Linked DNA regions of Arabidopsis thaliana. The protein of the gene in region 1 purifies or fractionates together with the protein of each later gene. This does not show direct contact. Each region holds a gene or a part of one and is shown in the gene's direction. Other genes may lie near its edges.

What was found.
Region 2: the proteins of PAB1 (region 1) and CSY1 fractionate together in Arabidopsis thaliana (co-fractionation; one large-scale study listed by BioGRID). This does not show direct contact.
Region 3: the proteins of PAB1 (region 1) and CSY3 fractionate together in Arabidopsis thaliana (co-fractionation; one large-scale study listed by BioGRID). This does not show direct contact.

What each region holds. Positions count from the first base shown.
Region 1 is NC_003070.9:12,432,856-12,439,186, reverse strand, and holds PAB1 (poly(A) binding protein 1), read left to right. Parts: upstream 1-4,451; coding exon 4,452-5,210; intron 5,211-5,280; coding exon 5,281-5,358; intron 5,359-5,444; coding exon 5,445-5,831; downstream 5,832-6,331. Other genes in the region: AT1G34150 (Pseudouridine synthase family protein), read right to left, coding at 1-17, 112-198, 299-409, 495-618, 736-853, 1,247-1,377, 1,468-1,528, 1,659-1,755 and 6 more; STT3B (staurosporin and temperature sensitive 3-like b), read right to left, coding at 6,202-6,331.
Region 2 is NC_003074.8:21,719,293-21,727,611, reverse strand, and holds CSY1 (citrate synthase 1), read left to right. Parts: upstream 1-3,821; 5' UTR 3,822-3,885; coding exon 3,886-4,122; intron 4,123-4,244; coding exon 4,245-4,425; intron 4,426-4,587; coding exon 4,588-4,673; intron 4,674-4,747; coding exon 4,748-4,852; intron 4,853-4,926; coding exon 4,927-4,989; intron 4,990-5,063; coding exon 5,064-5,173; intron 5,174-5,259; coding exon 5,260-5,379; intron 5,380-5,463; coding exon 5,464-5,613; intron 5,614-5,688; coding exon 5,689-5,809; intron 5,810-5,909; coding exon 5,910-6,007; intron 6,008-6,120; coding exon 6,121-6,232; intron 6,233-6,486; coding exon 6,487-6,546; 3' UTR 6,547-6,839; downstream 6,840-8,319. Other genes in the region: CSY2 (citrate synthase 2), read left to right, coding at 154-399, 531-711, 857-942, 1,231-1,335, 1,427-1,489, 1,579-1,688, 1,847-1,966, 2,045-2,194 and 4 more.
Region 3 is NC_003071.7:17,801,361-17,809,623, reverse strand, and holds CSY3 (citrate synthase 3), read left to right. Parts: upstream 1-3,550; 5' UTR 3,551-3,632; coding exon 3,633-3,863; intron 3,864-3,952; coding exon 3,953-4,133; intron 4,134-4,235; coding exon 4,236-4,321; intron 4,322-4,528; coding exon 4,529-4,633; intron 4,634-4,749; coding exon 4,750-4,812; intron 4,813-4,932; coding exon 4,933-5,042; exon of another isoform or gene 5,043-5,193; coding exon 5,194-5,313; intron 5,314-5,384; coding exon 5,385-5,460; intron 5,461-5,554; coding exon 5,555-5,628; intron 5,629-5,717; coding exon 5,718-5,838; intron 5,839-5,953; coding exon 5,954-6,051; intron 6,052-6,132; coding exon 6,133-6,256; intron 6,257-6,351; coding exon 6,352-6,492; 3' UTR 6,493-6,783; downstream 6,784-8,263. Other genes in the region: RLP29 (receptor like protein 29), read left to right, coding at 79-1,467; AT2G42780 (transcription elongation factor B polypeptide), read right to left, coding at 6,978-7,143, 7,233-7,352, 7,443-7,499, 7,596-7,674, 7,822-7,884, 8,009-8,087, 8,166-8,263. UniProt on the Arabidopsis thaliana protein: Peroxisomal citrate synthase required for the fatty acid respiration in seedlings, citrate being exported from peroxisomes into mitochondria during respiration of triacylglycerol (TAG).

The sequences.
Region 1 (6,331 bases):
TCGTTCTTCATACGACGCTGCAAGAAAAAGAAAAAAGCAAGAGGATCATGTATTTGAGATTTCAATATTTGCATATGTACATTTTACAGTGAGATTTCGAAGAAGACTTACGCTCAGTTGGTCGAGATAACAGGGGAACGTGTTCTGCCCTTTTCTTCTTTTTTTCTACGCCATTGCATGAGCTTTCCTCTGTTGAAACTGAAATTTTATTTTGAGTTGATTCTCTCTTTCATAGAAGTCATCTTACTACTATTTAGTATTTACAGTAAAGGGTAAAGGAAATACTGATGTATCGTACCATTGTTGCTTAGAGGTAAACAGTTTCGGAGAGCCTCCTGATAAATTACAGACTCTAATTGGTATGTCAATGATTCATTCTTGAAATGAGACCGCAGTGACTCTGCAGCACCTTTAGGCATGAAAAAGGGGTTTGTTATTATCATATCTACTCAATCTAAAACCACTTCCAAGATATCTGAATCAGACTTTGTTACCTGGAGAACATATGAAGTCAACATTTTCGAATTCACATGTACGGAGGACTAAGGGTATCTCTGAGGCCAATAGGTATTGAGGTTTTCTTGGCGTTTTCTTTGTGTCCAACAATGTATCTATCACCTGGGTAAATGCCAGTTCATCCCTAAATCAACACTTGATGAATATATAAACCTCCCAAGTAAGGATTGGATTGAGCTTGGAAACTGGAACAAACATGAAGGTTTCCAAGTGACTTACATCAACTGATTCAACGCCCTGCCCAATCATGAATAGCACGGCGACCATACAGCGGATCTGGTGCCACAGGAAAGCACTGCCTCTCATTGTAAATGTGCAAAGCTGATCACCCTCATGACTTCACAAGAAGGAAAAACAAGAAGATCAGATGTTTTAGAACCAAAAGACAAAATAATAAAAGATAATTGATCAGAAGAATGTGTGTATATAAAGTAGTGACTGGTGTGAGTTTAACAATGGGTGCCATTGTGCTCAATAGGATGCGCAATTTCTATTGTTCCTAGAACATGATTTTGTCTACCCTTAATTTTTTACAATTGTATTAGTCATAACCCTATATTACTAGTGGTCTACCATTAGAACCTGAACAATCCTACGGTTTTAAGCAAGAATCTTAGTTGACCTAAGCCTTTATAGGATCCAAAATCAGTTCAAAGAATACTAATGTAGTCAGCGGTCATCAAAAGAGGATCAGAAGATCAGCTTAAATGTGCCTTTTACCAAAGCCAACCTATTTTGACAAGGGGAGACTTCAAAGAAAGTAACACGCCGTGTATAGCAATGTACATTTGCCACATCCATCTTGCAGAAGTTTCTGAAATCATGCTCCCCAATGAACTTCTTCCCGGCAAAGTCCATGGCCTAGAGGAAGATGCGAATAAAAATTAACTTCTATATTGTTTCAATTGTGGAGTATTTTGACTTTATTAACAAGTGTAAAGATCACTGCACCGAAAGATTCAGGTTCTGCCTCCAGAAAAAATATTTGTATTCTCTAGCATAGCAACTAAACCTGTACCCAAGGAAACAAAAAAAAGGTAAGCATCCAGTATCCAATACTAGTTCACAACGTATTCTGCAGTCAGGGCGGAATAGCACAAACAACAACGAAGGATTACAAAAAAAAACGGGAAAACACAAACCTTGCATGAAAGTCGATAGGAGCAGGAGACCATCCAATAACTCGGATGTCATCAGGGAGAGCACGATTTAGAACTCTTACATAATCATATTCTGGTCCTAAACCAGAGAAATCAGAGAGTTACAGCAACAACATTAAGAGGGTGAAAACCACCAAAATGAATTACATTCCCAGAGTAAACTTACTTTCACCCGTTCTCCCATTCACTTGGGCTTTAGAGTCTCCAGGAGGTGACTTCAGTCTGGATCTTAAAAACAAAGCAATCACCTGCATCAACAATCGAATAGACATAAGAGATCGCTTCTTCCACGAGCCTACCTTATAGACATTTGGGAATGCTCCCATTACAGGGTTTTGGAAAAACATCAGCACAATGAGAAATTGGTTCTTAAACTGATGAGATCATATGAGTAGTTATATCATTGGCACACAACCAGTGAGATCGAAAGAAACTATTGCGAGTAAAATGCTAGAGATCAAGAGAGGCCCAAGCAAGCCACCTGCCCTGTGGAGGAAACACCTTTATCTGTTCTCCCACATCTCGAGTAACAAGAATCTTTCTTGTCCCCAACTAAAAGCCGTGTCCTTTCAAGTGCTTTAAAAACTTCTGACTGCAGGAAACACACAAATTACTCATCATGTAAATACAAATTAGTTATTACTAGTTAACAAACAAAACAAAGAGAACAAAAACACACCTCAATACTTGGTTCCATTTGTGCTTCAGCCGAAAATCCATAAAATCTGTAACAACAAAAATTCATTCATTCATACGATTAGGAACAATGACATAACATGAAGAAGAGAAGCAATCCAAAAAACATACCTCTTACCAAAATACATGATTTTGAGTGCAACATATCTCTTTGAGATAAGATGACTCGGTATACTATTCTTATCTCCTTTTCTAACTCTCCTTCTCCTAACTAAGCTACTGGAATCTGACAATGACCGATCATGCTTCACTTCCATCTACAACAAAAACACCGAGATTCTTGACAATTTCAAACGAAACAATGTGAAGTCAATCAAAAGTTAAGTATATCTTCACCTGTTGGCATTGGCAGCTTGAAACCTGAGACAACAATTTAGCATTTTCCACTTCTAACTCCTGATGAGAGATATAGAACAAACAATGAAACAATCAACAACTTCACTATCTAACGTTTCTACAGGAGAATTAACCGAAGATTCAACATAGTTTCAAACTCAACCTTTAAGCAATGTGTAATCGAATCGTTCCACTAACAAAATGCTTAACAACGAAGGGCACAAACATTGAGCGAAGAGACTACAGAGACGTTGAAGAAGCTAAGAAGATGACAAGTCGTACGGAGATTTTTACCTTGACGCGATTACGGAGAAACACTAGTTCTGTTTCTTTGGCGATTTCAGAGTCTCGGTCATCGCCGCCGGGATCGGATTTTGCGTCGGAGATAGTCATGAATCAGCCTCGAATTTTAAGATGGATACACGAATGACGGCGACGAAACGAGATTCGACGCCGGTGAAAAGAGCCAACGAGACGGCGACGAAACGAGATTCGACGCCGGTTGAAAAGAGTTCAACGACGGGGACAAAACGCGGCGTCGAAGAGAAACTGTGTTGGGATTAGTCAAGAGTCTACATATGTTTCTCTATTTACATATTAGTCACTATAGTTATTCATATTTCTCTGAAAACCCTCTTATGTTATTGTTTTTTTTTTCTTAAAGATAATAATGTTTTTGACGATCTATTTATTAATTTCTGAATTGAATAAAATACAAAACAAGTTTACGATTATACTTTGTAGTTAAAATTAATGTTTAACCAAATAAGTTGACGATCTACATATGTTTCAAATTTATATTTATGATCTAACGGTACGAATCTGTTGCCAAGTGTGAGCAGTACCAGCTCATATATTTCATGTGCCCTAAGACAAATTTTGAAAAGAAAATATTTTATTCTCTTTTTGTATGTATAATTTTTTTTGTGTGTCTCTTTTATATATACAAAAAGAAAACAATTTGTGCTCTTTTTATACAGAAAAAAAACAATTTCTCATATATAGAATGATCGCATTATTCATCGTTGTACTTAAACCGGCACTCACTGTGAGAGGAGGTTAACTTTTCTTATTTCTTTAAGCTTATCGAAATAGTTAAAGCTTATCTTTAATTTTTTTATTTGATATTAGAAATTATTAATATTATCTTAGTAGAAAAATAAAAAGCTAATCCTAGTAAGGAATTGACTTTTTTTTTTTCTTTTTTTTAATATATATGACTTTAGAACCAGATATATACTTAAAAAAAATTATCAGAGAACAAAGACGTGTTTCAACTATAAGAACCTCAGAGAACAAATTTGAGAAGCATACATTATATATAGGAGATCTTGATTCGAGTGTCGAAGAGGGTGACTTATACACCAAATTCAGTGAGTTCACTCATGATATTTCTTCAGTGAAAGTTTGTTGCGACCGAAACACTGGCTTGTCTCTTGGTTATGGATATGTTAATTTCAACCATAGTTCTCAAGGTAAGTCGTAATATTCTATATGTTCGTCTATATTAATTGTTTCATCATGTTGCTTGTTTCTAGGGTTTAGTCGTTACGTTGAGGAAATAGTTTACTTTCAATGATTGTTCCCTAATCTAAAACACTTTTTAGTTTTTTTTTGTTAGTATTATTTAGGCACACGTGTATTTGTTTCGATTTAAATTATGTCGATTTTTCTTTAACGAATTTGAATGTTAATTGGTTTGATTTATTTATTTTTTCGTGGGGAAAAACAGCGAAGACTGCAATGGAGGTGCTGAATTATTGTAAGTTAAAGGGAAAACCTATGAGGATAATGTTTTCAGAACGTGATCCTAGCAACAGAATGAGTGGACGAGGTAACGTGTTTGTCAAGAATCTAGACGAATCTATCGACAACAAGCAACTTTGCGATATGTTCTCTGCATTTGGCAAAGTTCTCTCTTGCAAAGTGGCTCGTGATGCTTCTGGAGTTTCCAAAGGATATGGGTTCGTCCAGTTTTACTCAGACCTTTCAGTCTACACCGCATGCAATTTTCACAATGGCACGCTCATCCGCAATCAACATATTCATGTTTGTCCATTCGTTAGCCGTGGTCAATGGGATAAATCTCGGGTTTTCACTAATGTTTATGTTAAAAACTTGGTGGAGACTGCGACGGATGCTGATTTGAAGAGGCTCTTTGGGGAGTTTGGGGAGATAACTAGCGCGGTGGTGATGAAAGATGGAGAAGGTAAGTCTAGAAGGTTCGGGTTTGTGAACTTCGAGAAGGCTGAGGCCGCGGTTACTGCGATAGAGAAGATGAACGGGGTAGTAGTTGATGAAAAGGAGTTGCATGTTGGAAGAGCTCAGAGGAAAACTAATAGAACTGAGGATTTGAAAGCTAAATTTGAACTAGAAAAGATAATACGGGATATGAAAACACGTAAAGGGATGAATCTTTATGTGAAGAATCTTGATGATTCTGTTGATAACACAAAGCTTGAAGAATTATTCTCAGAGTTTGGGACCATCACTTCTTGCAAGTACGCATGCAATAGCAAAAGATTGATTTGTGACTACGACGAATAATAAATTTAACTAATGAATTTTGAAGGTCATGGTCCATTCCAATGGTATTAGCAAAGGTGTTGGGTTTGTTGAGTTCTCAACGAGCGAAGAAGCTTCGAAAGCGGTAAGTTTGTAAACCAAGTAATGGTCTTTTAGTGTTGCCTTCTTAATCAAGGAACTCACACTAATTAATTTTTTATCCTTACACAGATGCTCAAGATGAATGGGAAAATGGTGGGAAATAAACCTATCTATGTTTCTTTGGCACAATGCAAAGAGCAACATAAGCTTCATTTACAAACTCAATTTAATAACCCACCACCAAGTCCTCACCAACAACCTATCTTCAGTCAAGTGGTCGCTCCGGCAACAATGTTATCTCAACAAACTCCATTAAGAGGATACAACTTCCAACCATATTCTATGTGCGGATCAAGAATGCCAAACAGTTGCCCTCCAATCTCTATCCCTAATTTCATGGTGCCACAACCATTTCGTCCAACACTATATCCACCTGCTCCGCTTGTCGGCCTCTACGGTAGTTTGCCACAGCCACTACTGCAACCAAATCTATGGAACCCATACCGTAGATTTTAGTAGCTTTTAGGAATTAACATTATGCTTCCAAAAGCGAACTGGTTGGATTGATAGTCTTCTTTTATTAAGTTAAGTCATGTTAGGTTTTCATTTACGATATTCTCGTTGGTTTGAATACGGTTTATGTTTCTTGTGTCTCTACTTTTCAACATTCATGTTTACTTTGAGCTTGATCAAACCAAGATTAAATTACAGAACTTGTTTTAAAAGTAGACGAAAAAACCAATGCAAATAGGTTTCAACTTAAGTGATGGAAAAACTACAAAAAATGTCTCTGCATCAAAATAAAACCATATCCAAGAAAATCCGAAATTGTGGTTCCTCCTCAAAACTATCAACTATCTAAAACCATTTTGGTAACATTGAAGCATCACAACCTATTTGTAGGAGGTTTAACTCTGTAAATACGAACTATCCAGTTGGATGTTGTGTAAGCTTCTTCTAAGTGTTCAAGTTTGATATCTTTGTTCCCTATCTCCACTCCTCTTGCTCTATCATAC
Region 2 (8,319 bases), on another chromosome or scaffold:
GAGAATAAAAATATCAGCTACTACCAAAATTAGCAAATGCAGGATACAAAAGCCAAGTCACTTACCGCAAGATTGTTTCTTCTTCTTCTTCTTCGCTTCCTTCCTTTGAAATTGAATTCAGATATTTTTTTTAAAATTTTTTGAGAGGAAGAAATGGAGATTTCGCAGAGAGTGAAAGCTAGATTAGCCGTTCTCACCGCGCATTTGGCGGTGTCTGATACCGTCGGATTGGAACAGGTGTTGCCGGCGATCGCGCCATGGTGTACATCGGCTCACATTACCGCTGCACCTCATGGATCACTCAAAGGAAACTTGACGATCGTCGATGAGCGTACGGGGAAGAAATATCAGGTCCCTGTCTCAGAGCATGGTACCGTTAAAGCCGTTGATCTCAAGAAGGTATGTAACGGATTTGTAATCCTGAACAGAATTGTGGAATCGAGTTAGTTTTATCTGAATTTTGATTCGTCTCACCTAATTTTCCCTGAATATGATAAGGAATTTGATGGATTTGCATGTTTGGTGTGCAGATAACGACGGGGAAGGATGATAAGGGGCTGAAGTTGTACGATCCTGGTTACTTGAACACGGCTCCGGTTCGATCTTCGATTTGTTACATCGACGGAGATGAAGGAATCTTACGTTATCGGGGATACCCAATTGAAGAGTTGGCTGAGAGCAGTACTTTTATTGAGGTTGCTTATCTCCTCAGTAAGTCTTTATCAATCTCGTTGCTTATTCTTGTTGTTGTTGTTGCTTATTTTACTTTTGTGGCGTCTACTTGTGGAAAAGAAAATGTCTTGAAAATTGTGTCTCTCTTAGTGTCGTGTTAAAATTCCCCTTTTTTTGTCTCCAGTGTATGGAAATCTGCCTTCTCAAAGTCAGCTAGCTGATTGGGAGTTCACTGTTTCTCAGCATTCAGCTGTGCCACAAGGAGTATTGGTGAAATTTCTACTCTTTCGTTATTTGGATTTTCATACTAGTGCAAATTCCAAACTTTGTATCAGAATGCAAATCCAAACCAAAGAGGGATTTTGAAAATGATTTCTTGTCAAGTGTACAAGTTGTTTGTCTTGCTTGTAAACCATGTCTATTAAGGATACTGGATCTCTTTCTAGTATTAGTACCTTATGTCTTACTCGCCGTTGTGAATATAGTTATGTGTATATGCTTAGTAAAAGAATTTTCTATGGATTTTTGATCTGAGACGATTTCTGAATGTTTTTGCAGGATATCATACAGTCCATGCCTCATGATGCACACCCAATGGGAGTTCTTGTGAGTGCCATGAGTGCACTTTCTATCTTTCACCCTGATGCAAATCCTGCTCTTAGTGTAAGTTTTGAAATCCTGTTCTTTTCGTACTGTCAAGATGCCTTTTTCTGAAAATGGCTATGCCAACTCGATTTTCTTTCATTGGGTGCAGGGCCAAGACATTTACAAGTCAAAACAAGTTCGTGATAAACAGATTGTTCGCATTCTCGGAAAGGTATTGTTCTATCTGTTGATGATTTGTTTCCTTAACGTATCTGTGTATAAGTTGCGGGACTAGAAAAAGGGTTTACAACGTGTTTGCAGGCACCAACAATTGCAGCAGCTGCTTATTTGAGGACGGCAGGCAGGCCTCCTGTTCTTCCTTCGGCCAACCTTTCTTATTCAGAGAATTTCCTCTATATGCTGGATTCAATGTACTTTCCCCTCTTTCTTCTGTCTTTATTTGATTTAACACTTGCATTTTAAAAGGGTAGTCAGAAAAACTGTGTTTCTTTAGTCAGTTTAAATCTGTTTCAAGCTTCAAACGTGTCTGTAACACAGGATACATTCTTTAATCTTCAATTGATTACAGGGGCAATAGGTCTTACAAGCCTAATCCTCGTTTGGCTCGAGTGCTGGACATCCTCTTCATACTGCATGCTGAACATGAAATGAACTGCTCTACTGCTGCTGCTCGGCATCTTGCCTCTAGGTACTTATCAGTTATCACTGATTAGAGATATTCATTTAGACTTCTTTGAGTGTTTAAATCAGTATTGTGTTTCTGCAGTGGTGTTGATGTGTACACCGCATGTGCTGGAGCTGTTGGGGCGCTTTATGGTCCACTTCATGGTGGCGCGAACGAGGCCGTGCTTAAGATGTTAGCAGAGATTGGGACTGCTGAAAATATTCCAGATTTCATTGAAGGCGTGAAGAACAGGTAACTCAATGCTTAATAACTACAAGCACCAAGTACTCTGAATTGTGGTGAGTCATGCCGGTAATGTTATATCCCTTTTCTATGTTCTCAGAAAGAGGAAGATGTCAGGTTTTGGACATCGTGTTTACAAAAACTATGACCCCCGAGCAAAAGTTATAAAAAAACTGGCAGATGAAGTGTTCTCCATTGTTGGTAGGGATCCTCTCATCGAGGTACTGTAGATCCTTGTGCTCACGTATCTCTCCTAGTATTTGGTTGTCAAAAAAATTCTTATATAACATGACTGTGGGTTAAATTTTGTTTTGACGGATGATGTTTTCAGGTAGCAGTTGCTCTAGAGAAGGCGGCACTGTCTGATGAATATTTTGTTAAGAGAAAGCTGTACCCAAATGTTGATTTCTACTCTGGATTAATCTATAGGTAAGACATTGCTGATTCATCTGACATAGACCCTGTAACCATTAAGTTCTTTACCTGAACCTTGTGTTGGTAATTGAAATGGGGGAAAAACACAGGGCAATGGGATTCCCACCAGAATTCTTCACAGTCCTGTTCGCAGTCCCGCGTATGGCTGGATACTTGTCACACTGGCGTGAGTCGTTAGATGATCCTGACACTAGGATCATGAGACCCCAACAGGTAAAATACATAACTTGTTTGATAGATCAAAAGGTTTATAGTTTGAGCTAACTGAATTGTGTGGCTGCATATAGGCCTATACTGGAGTGTGGATGAGGCATTACGAGCCAGTGAGAGAACGAACGTTATCAAGTGATTCGGATAAGGATAAGTTTGGTCAAGTTTCCATTTCGAATGCATCAAGAAGGCGTTTAGCTGGATCATCTGCCCTTTAGTCTCAATCCTAATACTCACCAATAAAGAAGAAAACATTGGGATACCTCTGGGAAAACAAGAGAGTCTTCTCAACAACATGTGTTGTTTTCTTTCTCTTATTCTTAAACACTTAATAATACAACCCTATTCTTATTGTTTGTCTGTTATTTTAAAATGTTATGATTTAATAATAATAATCTTGTTATAGGGAACGACATGTACTTTTGATAAATTGCGCTTTTATTCCTGTTAATGTTAATTTCTGAAGACATGTCTAACACATTGGTTTGGAAAATGTCAACCACCAAATCATATCATTTAGGATTAACTGAATGTTATTTTTAGGGTGAATATGTTATGCAGATTCCAAGTGATAACAATAAGCTAACCACTCATTGAACATCATATCATATTTTTTTGTACGGTATTTATAATTTGCCTGAAAGTTTCCTATCATTTTGCATTATTGCCAATAATATTTCCATTTCAAATGAGAACAATTGTGAGAAGTGTGAACAAATATAAAAGAAAAGTGACGTTAAATAACAAACCCTGGAGTACCTGACACTGATTAACAGAAAGAAGTAAGAAGCAACCAAAACAATACATAACTGTCGCAGAGACACATACTTAAAATTGGTTAAAAGCCACAAAACTCTGATTGAAGACAAAGAAGACACTGTAGATTCACGCCAATCATACCCACAAAAGTATTAAGACAAAAGTGTTACGTAATGAAATTATCAAATTTCCCCACTATAAAACCATGCATGCCTATATATCACTTTGAACTACAACAGCCACTTGGTTTCTTATTCGCTTCCCTTTCTTGAATTGTGATCTTTTTGAGGTGACAAATGGAGATTTCGGAGAGAGCTAGAGCTCGATTAGCCGTTCTCAATGCGCACTTGACAGTATCTGAGCCGAATCAGGTGTTGCCAGCGATCGAACCATGGTGCACATCGGCTCACATAACCGCTGCACCGCATGGATCGCTTAAAGGAAATTTGAAGATCGTCGATGAGCGTACGGGGAATGAATATCAGGTCCCAGTCTCAGAGCATGGTACCGTTAAAACCGTTGATCTCAAGAAGGTATATATAATGAGTTTTTATGCTGAAGTTATTTCTTCATTGTGGCCATTAGTACTACGAATAGATTGTTTTTTGTATATTGTGTGAGTGTGTATAAATGGATTTTCATGTTTGGTGTGAAGATAACGACAGGGAAGGATGACAAGGGGCTTAACTTATACGATCCTGGTTACTTAAACACGGCTCCTGTTCGATCTTCGATTTCTTACATCGATGGAGATGAGGGAATCCTACGTTATCGGGGATACCCAGTTGAGGAGTTGGCTGAGAAAAGTACTTATACAGAGGTTACTTATCTCCTAAGTAAGTCTTGATCATCTTGTATAGCTCATTGTTGTTGCTTAATTATGATCATCTTGATCATCTTGTATAGCTCATAGTCTTGCTTTTGTGTGGGTATTTCTTTAAAATTTTGTCTCCCTTAGTGCTCTAGTTTACTACTGCTTTTTTTGTTTTTGCATGCAGTTTATGGGAATCTGCCTTCTCAAAGACAGCTAGCTGATTGGGAGTTTGCGATTTCTCAGAATTCAGCTGTGCCACAAGGAGTATTGGTGAGTTTCTTCTACTCTTTCCTAACTTTCTCTAGATCTTCGAGGTGAGATGATTTATCTGAATGTTTTCACAGGATATGATACAGTCCATGCCTAATGATGTACATCCAGTAGGAGCTCTTGTCACTGCAATGAGTGCACTTTCCATCTTTTATCCTGATGCAAATCCGTCTCTTATGGTAAGTTACGTTTTTATAATCCTGCTTTCTTCTGAAAATTTCCACGCCGACATGGAAATCCCCATTTGGTGCAGGGCCTAGGTGTTTACAAGTCAAAACAAGTTCGTGATAAACAGATTGTTCGTGTTCTTGGACAGGTATTGTTCTGTCTGTGTGATTTGGTGCCTCAATGTATAACCGGACTATGAATTATAATATAACGTGTCTGCAGGCCCCAACAATTGCAGCAGCTGCTTATTTGAGGAAGGCAGGCAAGCCTCCTGTTCAACCTTTGAGCAACCTTTCTTATTCAGAGAATTTCCTCTATATGGTGGAATCAATGTACGTTATTGTCCCTCTTTGTTTGATTTGGAGATGGTAGCCATAAAACTGTGCACTTGTTTAGTCTCATCTTCCATTGATTACAGGGGAGATAGGTCTTACAAGCCTAATCCTCGTTTGGCTCGAGTGCTGGACATCCTCTTCATACTGCAAGCTGAACATGAAATGAACTGCTCTACTGCTGCTGCTAGGCACCTTTCCTCTAGGTACTACTTATCATTGGTTAGAGATTCATTTGAGTCTGCTATGAGATACTTTTTAATCAGCACATAAATCCTCTGTTTATGTAGTGGTGGTGATGTGTATACTGCTGTTTCGGGAGGTGTTGGAGCCATTTATGGTCCCCTTCATGGTGGTGCAGTTGAGGCTACGATTAACATGTTATCAGAGATTGGGACTGTTGAAAATATTCCAGAGTTCATTGAAAGCGTGAAGAATAAGTAACTCAATTCTTAGAGAGTATACCTAGAATGTGATGGTCAATATTCCATTAATGTTAACTCTTTTTATTCCAGGAAGAGGAGGTTGTCGGGTTTTGGACACCGCATTTACAAAAACTACGATCCCAGAGGAAAAGTCGTTAAGAAACTGGCGGATGAAGTGTTCTCCATTCTTGGAAGGGATCCTCTGGTTGAGGTACTCTGTATTCTTGTTGCTCACGTTTCCTTGTTGAATCCTTCATATGTATGATGAATTTGGTTTAAGAAAATATTTGGTGTATAAATAATGTTTTCAGGTAGGAGATGCTCTAGAGAAGGCGGCACTTTCTGATGAATATTTTGTTAAGAGAAAGCTGTACCCAAATGTTGATTTCTACTCTGGATTAATCAATAGGTAAGACATTGATTAGTTATCTAACAAATTCTGACTAATGAGTTGTTGTAACCATTGAGTTCTTTCTTTATTTGAATCTTTTTTGTTGGTAACTGAAATGGGCCAAAACACAGGGCAATGGGAATCCCATCATCATTCACCGCAGTATCACGTATCGCTGGATACTTGTCACACTGGCGTGAGTCTTTAGATGATCCTGACACAAAGATCATGAGACCCCAACAGGTAAAATACACCTTTAATATATAAGTGACTTTGTTTAGATAACATTGGCTCATGGCTAATAAAGACACTTTTTGATAGATCAATGAGTAATTAAGTTTTCTTTTTTGCTCATGAGATTATACATTATGCATAGATACATACACTCTTGGATATATTAATGACTTGAACCTTCTTCTTTTTTTGGCTCATGAGTAATACAATTTTTAATGGATATATGCAGTTTTTGAATAGATCAAAAGTTTTTTTTGGCACAGGTCTATACTGGAGCGGGGATAAGGCATTACGAGACAGTGAGAGAAAGAACCAAGCTGTGATTCGGATTTGGATCAGTTGGGTCAAGTTTCCATTTCGAATGCATCAAGAAGGCGTTAGCTGGGTCAAGTCTCGTTCCTATACTACTAATATGAAATTTGACTCGGAAAGCCAAGCGAATATACAAATATATATAAAGAATATATATGCTTATATAAAATATAGTTTGGGTAAACCCCATCCGACCTCGAGTTAGTAATACATGTGTGTGTGTCTATGTATGTATAAGTTGTCAAAATAAAATAAAAATATTTGTGTATTATAGCATGTTTTTAAGAATATGATGTTGAACAATAATCATAAAGTGATAAAAACAGTTCAAATCTAAATTAAATATAACCGAAACAGTAAGAAGATAGTAGACAACAAATCAAGATGAGATTGGTAATTGAACATATATGCAGCAATAATGACGAAAACCAAAAGGGTCTTCTCAACAATGTGTGTTGTTTTCTTTCTCCTTATAGTTAAAACACTCAATAATCTACATACTATTGAATTTGTTTTTCATTTGTTTGTCTGTTATTTTAAAATTTATGATTTAAAACATATCTTAAGTATAGTGGTTCTATAATCAATTCCATCTAATAATTAAGTTGGTATAGGAAATTAAGACATAACTTTTGATAGATATTGTGCCTTTTGTGAGGAAAGTTCTAAAAGAAGATCTTCTTATTCTTCTTTAGTTAATATAACACATTGCTTTAGTTCTAAGATTTTTTATATATCACACATTGATTCGGAATAATTAGTTAACCACCAAATCATATCCTTTTAAAAAAATGTCATACAATATAGTGTTGAATGAGAGATTATTTTCTCCTCAACCATTTGGAAACTCTATACAACAAGATTTCATCCCTGAAACTTGGAAATGAAAAAATGTATTTGGCCGAGTTTTGTTTTTGTCCTAAGCACTAAATAAGAACGTGAGATATATAGTTCACCGCGTCTAAAGACGAAAGTGATGGGTCTCAGATTTAGGACACGAAAGTAGGCCCCACCATACGTGATGAGCTGTATACGTATTTATTTTATTTGTAAAAAATAAGCCCTTTATATTTACGGTTAATTACACAATTAGCCCATTTCTTTCTTCTCCACGATCACAGCGACGAGGTCGAATACGATCTTCTTACCCCTGTCGACAGTTCTGAATTAATATCAATTTTCATTGTCTTCCTATCTCTCTTTCTCTCTTTGGCTTCTTCCAATCTAATTTCAGTGATTTACTTGTTAAGAATTCACCTTTTGAGAGGCCCAGGTATGTCAATCCCAAATCTCACTCTTTTCTTCTCTTAGTTTGGTTTGAAACAATTGAATCTGGTGGGAAATTTAGGCGTGTATCCATATAACCTGACTGCTCAATTCTGAGTCCAATTGATTAGGTGTGTTCTGTGATCTAGATTTCATCTTCTGGGAAACGATCTATCCTAAAGTCGTAGACTTTGATTCAATTAGAAAATTCGTAGACTTTGATTCAATCTGGGAACAAAAAATGGATAATCTGATGAATCTCTGTATGGATCGTTCGAGATAATGATTGGGTGCTTGGTTCATTAGCCTAAGATTTTCCTAGTGAAACTTAAGAATCTTTGCGTGTTTGTTCAATTATAATTAGTAAACCAGAATTTACGAGATTTCCATGTTGATCTCTTTCCTCAATGATGCAAGTATTGTTTCGCATCATCGAAAAATCATCTTCTGTTGTTGGCTTCTGTCAATAGAGTAAGTCTGTTTGTGTCCTTGTTTAATCCCATCTCTTTCATTTGCTG
Region 3 (8,263 bases), on another chromosome or scaffold:
GAACTTTTATGAATTCTCAGTATAATATCACCAAGAAACACACACACTCTCTCTTTCCTCTCTCTTACACCAAAACCTATGACGATGAAGAGAGCTTTACCATCTCCTTCCTCACTGCTCTTCTTCTTTCTCCTGATAACACCACTCTTCCTCTGCCAAGAAAACAGAGTCTCTGCCTCAATGCCTCCATCTGAGTCAGAAACTCTCTTCAAGATCATGGAATCAATGTCTTCTGATCAACAATGGCGTCAATCCCACCCAAACCCTTGTGCACCTGGCTCATCTTGGCCAGGCATTGAGTGCAAAACCGGTCCAGACCACTTATCACACGTCTCTCGACTCGATTTCGGCTCTGCTCCAAACCCCTCTTGTAAATCCTCTGCTTCTTTCCCTTCTTCAATCTTCACTCTCCCTTTTCTCCAATCAGTCTTCTTCTTCAACTGCTTCACTCACTTCCCAACCACAATCATGTTCCCTATAAAACTCATCCCTAACTCTTCTCTTCAACAACTTAGCCTCAGATCAAACCCTTCTCTCTCAGGTCAAATCCCTCCTCGCATTTCTTCTCTCAAATCTTTACAAATCCTCACTCTCTCACAAAACCGATTAACCGGAGATATCCCTCCGGCGATTTTCTCATTGAAAAGCCTCGTACACCTCGATCTCAGCTACAACAAGCTCACAGGTAAAATCCCTCTGCAATTAGGGAATCTAAATAACCTCGTTGGCTTAGATTTAAGCTACAATTCTTTAACCGGTACAATCCCTCCAACGATCTCTCAACTGGGTATGCTTCAGAAACTCGACTTGAGCTCAAATTCTCTCTTCGGAAGAATCCCGGAAGGTGTAGAAAAGCTTCGTTCGTTGTCTTTCATGGCGTTGAGCAACAACAAACTAAAGGGAGCTTTTCCAAAAGGAATCTCGAACCTTCAGAGTTTGCAGTACTTCATAATGGATAATAACCCAATGTTCGTTGCTCTCCCCGTTGAATTAGGGTTTCTTCCTAAACTTCAAGAGCTCCAGCTCGAGAATTCTGGATATTCCGGCGTAATCCCGGAGAGTTACACCAAATTGACGAACCTTAGCTCGTTGTCTCTTGCTAACAACAGATTAACCGGCGAAATCCCATCAGGGTTTGAGTCTCTGCCACACGTTTTCCATCTGAATCTCAGCAGGAACTTACTGATCGGCGTTGTTCCGTTTGATTCAAGTTTCTTAAGACGGTTGGGTAAGAACTTGGATTTGAGCGGGAACAGAGGATTGTGTCTGAATCCGGAGGATGAGTTTAGTGTTGTCAAGACCGGGGTTGATGTATGCGGGAAGAACGTTAGTAGTGGTGGAGGTTTATCGGTGCATTCATCGAAGAAGAAATCTCAAGCTTCTCGGTATTACAGATCTTGCTTCTTCGCCAATGCTCTGTTTCCGTTTGCTCTGTTTCTAGGTTTACATCAACGATGGGTTCTCTAAGAGTGAGATAAAGACAAAACAGACAGAGAATTAAATATTTATCAAATCCCTAAAAAAGAGAGAAGAATTGTGTTTGTTCCCAAAGTAGACCGATGATTTCTAGGGAAATAAATTAATAGAGTCGATTTTGATGTGTATTAGTTTCCTATTAAAGCAATGTACGTTAATGTTGTGTTTTTTTTTTAGTTTAATAATAATACTAGTATTTTCAGATTTTTATATGATTGTTAATAAAATTATTTCGAGTCATCCATAATGGTCCTGAACAACTTCATAGCCGTGTGTATAAATATGTGTTTGTATACAAAAGAGAAAATAACAAATGAAATGAAACGACGTTTTTGTTTTCTATTGGGTAAGAATTAAATTTCTAGTAAATCTGTTATAAAATTTACATACATAGAGTGTAATAAACAAAAATAAGGGAGCAGTTTGGACAAAGAGTTTGCAGTGAGTCTGATAAAACGACACAACCTGATTCAAGTCTAACCATGCAACTAAATTGAAGACCTAGAAAAATTAATGTTAATTGAGTTTCAACTAACCATTTCAAATTTGTGTTAAGCTAATTTATTTATCTTAATCAACTAACGTAATTTGTTTTTAAACTGCTATTTGCTAAATTCATTATGTAGGAGTAGCCGAGTAGGACCCTGAATGGTACGCTCAAAAGAGGTAGCAGCGTCATCGAACTTAACGTTAGGACACCCTATGATTGATCGTATCAAATGACCAAAATTAAAAAGATGATTGAGTAAACCAATTAATTTTGGTATATAAACAATCTTTTTATTATCGTACACATTTTTGGGATGTGATGTGACTAATGAAAGGTTTAAATATATTTAAACATGATAAACGCAGAAACCACCATATAGAGGAGAAACTAGAAAAATATAATTTGTCAGTCATGTGTCTAAATCCACACCTACTTTTTTCTCATGCTTTTTTTCTTCCTGCAAATATTGCATTTCCTTTGCCTCTCTCACACATTTCCTCTGTCACTTTCTTTTTTATATATTTTTATTTCGGAATTCCATTACCGTGAAAAAGCTTTGTTTACAACAGTAATTTTGTTTCAAATGCTTTCTTGTTGTCTATTTTTATCAATTACTATGCCTCTGCTTGAATAACTTAAAAACACAAGTGATGTTAATTGTGTTATTGTAGATCCTATGAACAAATTTAATTTATAGACGTGTGAAGTTATAAATGAAAGATATCATTGAGTGAGTGATCACCGTTGCAGATAATGTTTAAAGAAAAAAAAAAGGAACAGTTCCTTGTTCATGTCATCATGTGTTGAAAACGGAAGGAGGGAAAGAAAAATCTATCACTCTCAGATTCAGAGCCTCACGTGGGGTAAACTTAGAATTCTATTTTTAGGTACGAATCAAAATATACGACCCGTCGCTTTTAACATGTCATTTATTATACCTTTCACTCTCATTTCCTCCATGCTTTTTTTTTAAAACGTAATTAGACCTATTCATTCTCCATAATATAATACATAAATACAACTTATAAGATTAATAGCCTCGTACACTAACATTAAAGAGTAAATAACCGTTTGTATTTTCCATCTTTTGATTAATGATAACTATAATTTATGAAGAACATCCATAAACTCATGAGTTTTATTTTGAACGCAACATCCATATTTAGCTTTACATTCATTTTTTTAATAAGATTTCAGTCATAGTTCGAAAAATGAATGTTGGGTTGGTTCCGATGGTAAAGCGAGCCGTATCAACAAAAAAGGCCCAAATAAAAAGTGGTATACTGTTGGGCCTAAAGATGAATATACAGAAGCCCATATTAAGACAATTCGGCCCATTCAGCATTGCGTAGCAATCGAATTGATATTTAGCAAATCGAGGAAAGCAATTGACTAACTAGATAATACTGATAAGTGGGTCCCACATAATTCTGACAGCTTAGAGATGGAGAAGATCATCACCGTTAGTCCAAGTTGGGTCAATAAGGCTTACGCCGTTGGATATCAAGATATCCGTTAGATCGCATACACGTGGATACTGTTCAATACTCCTGACCGCAGGGGATAAGACACGTGTTATATTAACGAAGAGTAAGAATGGTTTCTAATAATTTCTTCGCTCCCTTTCTTCTTCTTCTCTCCTTCTTTGAATTTTGATTTTGGTTGAATGGAGATATCAGAGAGAGTTCGAGCTCGATTAGCTGTTCTCTCAGGTCATTTATCGGAAGGAAAACAGGATTCTCCAGCGATCGAGCGATGGTGCACGTCGGCGGATACGAGTGTCGCACCGCTTGGATCTTTGAAGGGAACACTGACGATCGTCGACGAACGCACCGGAAAAAATTATAAAGTTCCGGTCTCAGATGATGGTACCGTTAAAGCCGTTGATTTCAAAAAGGTTTAACCCTTTTTCTAAATGACCATTTTCCTATCACTGTGGGATTTTGAGCTGAGAATTTGCTTTGTTGCGTGTTGTTTGGCTTGCAGATAGTGACGGGGAAGGAAGACAAGGGGCTTAAGTTATACGATCCAGGTTACTTGAACACGGCTCCTGTTCGATCTTCGATTTCTTACATCGATGGAGATGAAGGGATCCTTCGTTACCGTGGCTACCCAATTGAGGAAATGGCTGAGAACAGTACTTTTCTGGAGGTGGCTTATCTTCTCAGTAAGTGTTTTACCTTTTAACCTTACTACACAATTTCAAGTGTTATGTGTATCGAATTGGACATTGATGAAAAGTTTTCTCCTTTACTATATTTTCTGGCAGTGTATGGGAATCTGCCCTCTGAAAGTCAGCTATCTGATTGGGAGTTTGCAGTTTCTCAGCATTCAGCTGTGCCACAAGGTGTATTAGTGAGTCTCTAATCCTTGGTTGATGGATTTCAATTTCGATTTGTAAAATGGAGTTAGCCTGTTCTTTACTAGTAGCCTATTTTCTTGTCTGGTCGAACAATAATTTGTCAAGACTGTTCTATACATGTTGTTCTGAGGATTGTGTGCTGTACTCAAAGCTATATATTTCTCATATCTAACTCCACTTACTTGATAACTTTTGTGCAGGATATTATACAGTCTATGCCTCATGATGCACACCCAATGGGAGTTCTTGTGAGTGCAATGAGTGCGCTTTCCATCTTTCATCCTGATGCTAATCCTGCTCTTAGGGTAGGTTTAACCTTATATTACTTCTCTAACAACATGTCAGGCCTTGTCACTCGCTAGTTTTAGCTCTTTTGAAATTGTCCGTATAAACATGTTGACTGATACTCTATTGGGTGCAGGGCCAGGATATTTACGATTCAAAACAAGTTAGAGATAAACAAATTATCCGCATTATTGGAAAGGTATTTTTTTGTTATCAGTGGTTACCTTACTTCTTCCTATATTGTGTCACGCATAAACATATTTGGACTCTGAATTTCATGAAGATCTGATGCAACTAAACGTGTTTGCGATTTGTGCAGGCACCAACAATTGCAGCAGCTGCTTATCTGAGGATGGCAGGAAGGCCTCCTGTTCTTCCTTCAGGAAACCTTCCTTATGCAGATAATTTCCTCTATATGCTTGATTCCCTGTATGTCTCTGCTATCTCTTTCTTCTTGAATTAGTTAGAAACTCAACTTTTAGATTTAGTTTTAGATCTTGACGCTTCAGAGAACTTGAAGCCTAGTTATTTTTTTACTGTGTACATAACTTGTAGCGTGCCATTAACACACTTCTTACAGGGGAAATAGATCCTACAAACCTAATCCTCGGCTGGCTCGGGTGTTGGACATCCTCTTCATACTGCATGCAGAGCATGAAATGAACTGCTCCACCGCTGCTGCTCGGCATCTTGCCTCTAGGTACTTATCTTTGGTTGGAATCTTAGTGACCTTGATAGGAGATATATTGATTAGGAAATGTCTTCTTGTAGCGGTGTTGATGTCTACACTGCTGTTGCTGGAGCTGTGGGAGCGCTTTATGGTCCACTTCATGGTGGTGCAAACGAGGTATGCTATTTATTCTCATGTCTTCATATGTTACATCTTCTGATGTATTTTCATGCTCCATGGTCTTTGAAATTCATGTCTTTGGTTCCATTAGGCTGTGCTTAAGATGTTGTCAGAGATTGGGACTGTTGAAAATATTCCAGAGTTCATTGAGGGTGTGAAGAACAGGTAAAATCAATTCTTGAAACTATATGCTTCCGTTTCCGAGGTTTGTGACAAGTCTTTTCATTAAAATTCTCATCCCTTTGACATCTTAGGAAGAGGAAGATGTCTGGTTTTGGACACCGTGTGTACAAAAACTATGACCCTCGAGCTAAAGTCATCAAGAACCTGGCTGATGAAGTATTTTCCATTGTTGGAAAGGATCCTCTAATTGAGGTACGCTATGTCCACGAAGTTCAAGCTTATACTACAACTTGATGCCCACCTTTTCGATTTAGTGTAATTTTTCATGTTTCCTTAAAGCCAATGTGTTTGATTCTGATGTCTGCAGGTTGCTGTTGCACTTGAGAAGGCAGCTCTCTCTGACGATTACTTTGTTAAGAGAAAGCTGTATCCAAATGTTGACTTCTACTCTGGATTAATATACAGGTAAAAGTTTGAATGCATGTGCAGTATCCATAACTTCCTCTCAACTTCATCTAAATCTGCAAACTTGGACCATTACAACAGGGCAATGGGATTTCCACCGGAGTTCTTCACGGTCTTATTCGCGATTCCTCGCATGGCTGGATACTTGTCACATTGGAAAGAGTCACTGGATGATCCTGACACCAAGATCATGAGACCACAACAGGTATAGTTAATCTCTTTCCAAGAATAATAAGAGAAAGATTTTTCTTTGGATCAATTTGAAACTTGGATGGTTCATTGGAATATTAAATGTTGCAGGTGTACACAGGCGTGTGGCTGAGGCATTACACACCAGTGAGAGAGAGAATAGTGACGGATGACTCGAAAGAGTCAGACAAATTGGGTCAAGTCGCGACTTCAAATGCATCAAGAAGACGTTTGGCTGGATCTTCAGTTTAGACGTAGGCCCTTTTAGGGTCCATACTATACATCAAACCACACCGCAAAGAATAAAAGAGATTGGTTTCTCTAGCCTAAAGCTAAGATACTTGATCATACTCGAAACTTAGATTTCTCATTTTGTAGGCACAATATAGACTTGATCTATATTTGCTTCAATCCATCTTCTAAGGGTGTTTGTCCGCCTTGTTTGTCTTCTTATCAGAACGTGTTTATTGTATAAAATGATTTATGGTTATGGATTATTACTCTAATTTCTATATCGAATGCTTCTGCAGAGACGTTTGTTGTGAAATATCTCGGCCAAAGCAACAAGTAGAAAACAAAGCACTTTATTAAATCATTGTAAAAACTTTTGAAGATCTATTGTTACAAACTAGGATATCATCAAGCCAGAGTTTCAAAACTCGGAGTTCTTGAAACTTGAAGTAGCCATGTAAATGATACACTCGAAGAAAAAATGATCTGTAAAAAAGCTATATAAGTTACATTACATGTTTTTGTCTGGTGGCTGCATTTTTTGAAGTTGAAGGAGCAGTCCCAGGAAGGCCGTTGATCCTCCTTGGAGGTAGCTTTTGTCCACCAGAAGGAACGCTTCTTGAAGTTGAAGGCGCATTAGCGGATAAGCCAGTCCTCTTTGGAGCAGATATACTATACAAGACATGATCCGTCAAACCGATCAAGTTTGGGGGATAAAGAAGTGGATCCATATAGATATATAGATACTGAGGACATGTTACCTGAAACTCTTCTGAATCGTGTTCTTTTTAGTTTCAGTAAGATTTCGTCCACCATAAGGAATGCTTCTTGAAGTTGAAGGCGAATTCGCAGATAAGCCAGTTTTCTTTGGAGTAGAAATACTAGACAAGACATGATCAATCAAACCGATCAGGTTTGGGGGATAACGAATGTGGGTTGATATAGCTAAATAGATGCTGGGGAGATGATACCTGAAACTCTTCTGAATGGTGTTCCTTTTAATCGCAGTAAGATTTTTCACTTCTTGACTGTAATCAAAACCATCAGAAGATTTGAATTAAGAAATAGATTGTTGCTATAAACCTTATAAGTAAGACTGGTGATTGTGCAACTTTGAAGTGTACCTCTTCAACAGATCTATTTTTGCCTTCTTCATGATGTTGCTCTTCACATGCCCAAGATTGTAACCTGATGCACTATTACCTGCAACAAAATCGTCCATATAACCATTAGATTACAAAAGCCAGAGGGAAAAAAAACTAATATATGCATGGAGCATTTGCATACTGTTTTTTGGCAAGATCTGACCAGATGCTGCAAGAAATCATTTAGATTAAAAAAATGTGTTACCCCAAAATGGTCTTTTGCTTGGAGGAGCTTTCGAGCAGACCTTAGTTTGTCGACTTTGTTTCCCTGACAAAAGGAAACTGAAAACGATTACAAGGGAACGAAAGAAGAAAATATTTTGGTCAAAGAACATGCTTCTCATCATTGAGCTAACGGCCATAACAAAAGACAGATTCGTAAAAAGTTATACTTTCATTTTCGTCCTTGTAACGTTCTTTCAGTCGACCACCAAGTTCCTTCTCCTTTTGTTGCACAGCTATAACCTTCAACTGCACGAAACCATGTGCATGTATATCTTAAATATTTCAACACTTAAATATGTATCAAGACTTGAAAAAAAAACCAACCTCATATAAGTTCCTCCATTTGAAATCATTTACTTTATTCCACTCCAGGTCCTCTATAAGATCCTTCATGTCCTCTTCTCCATAGTGCTTCTTATAGA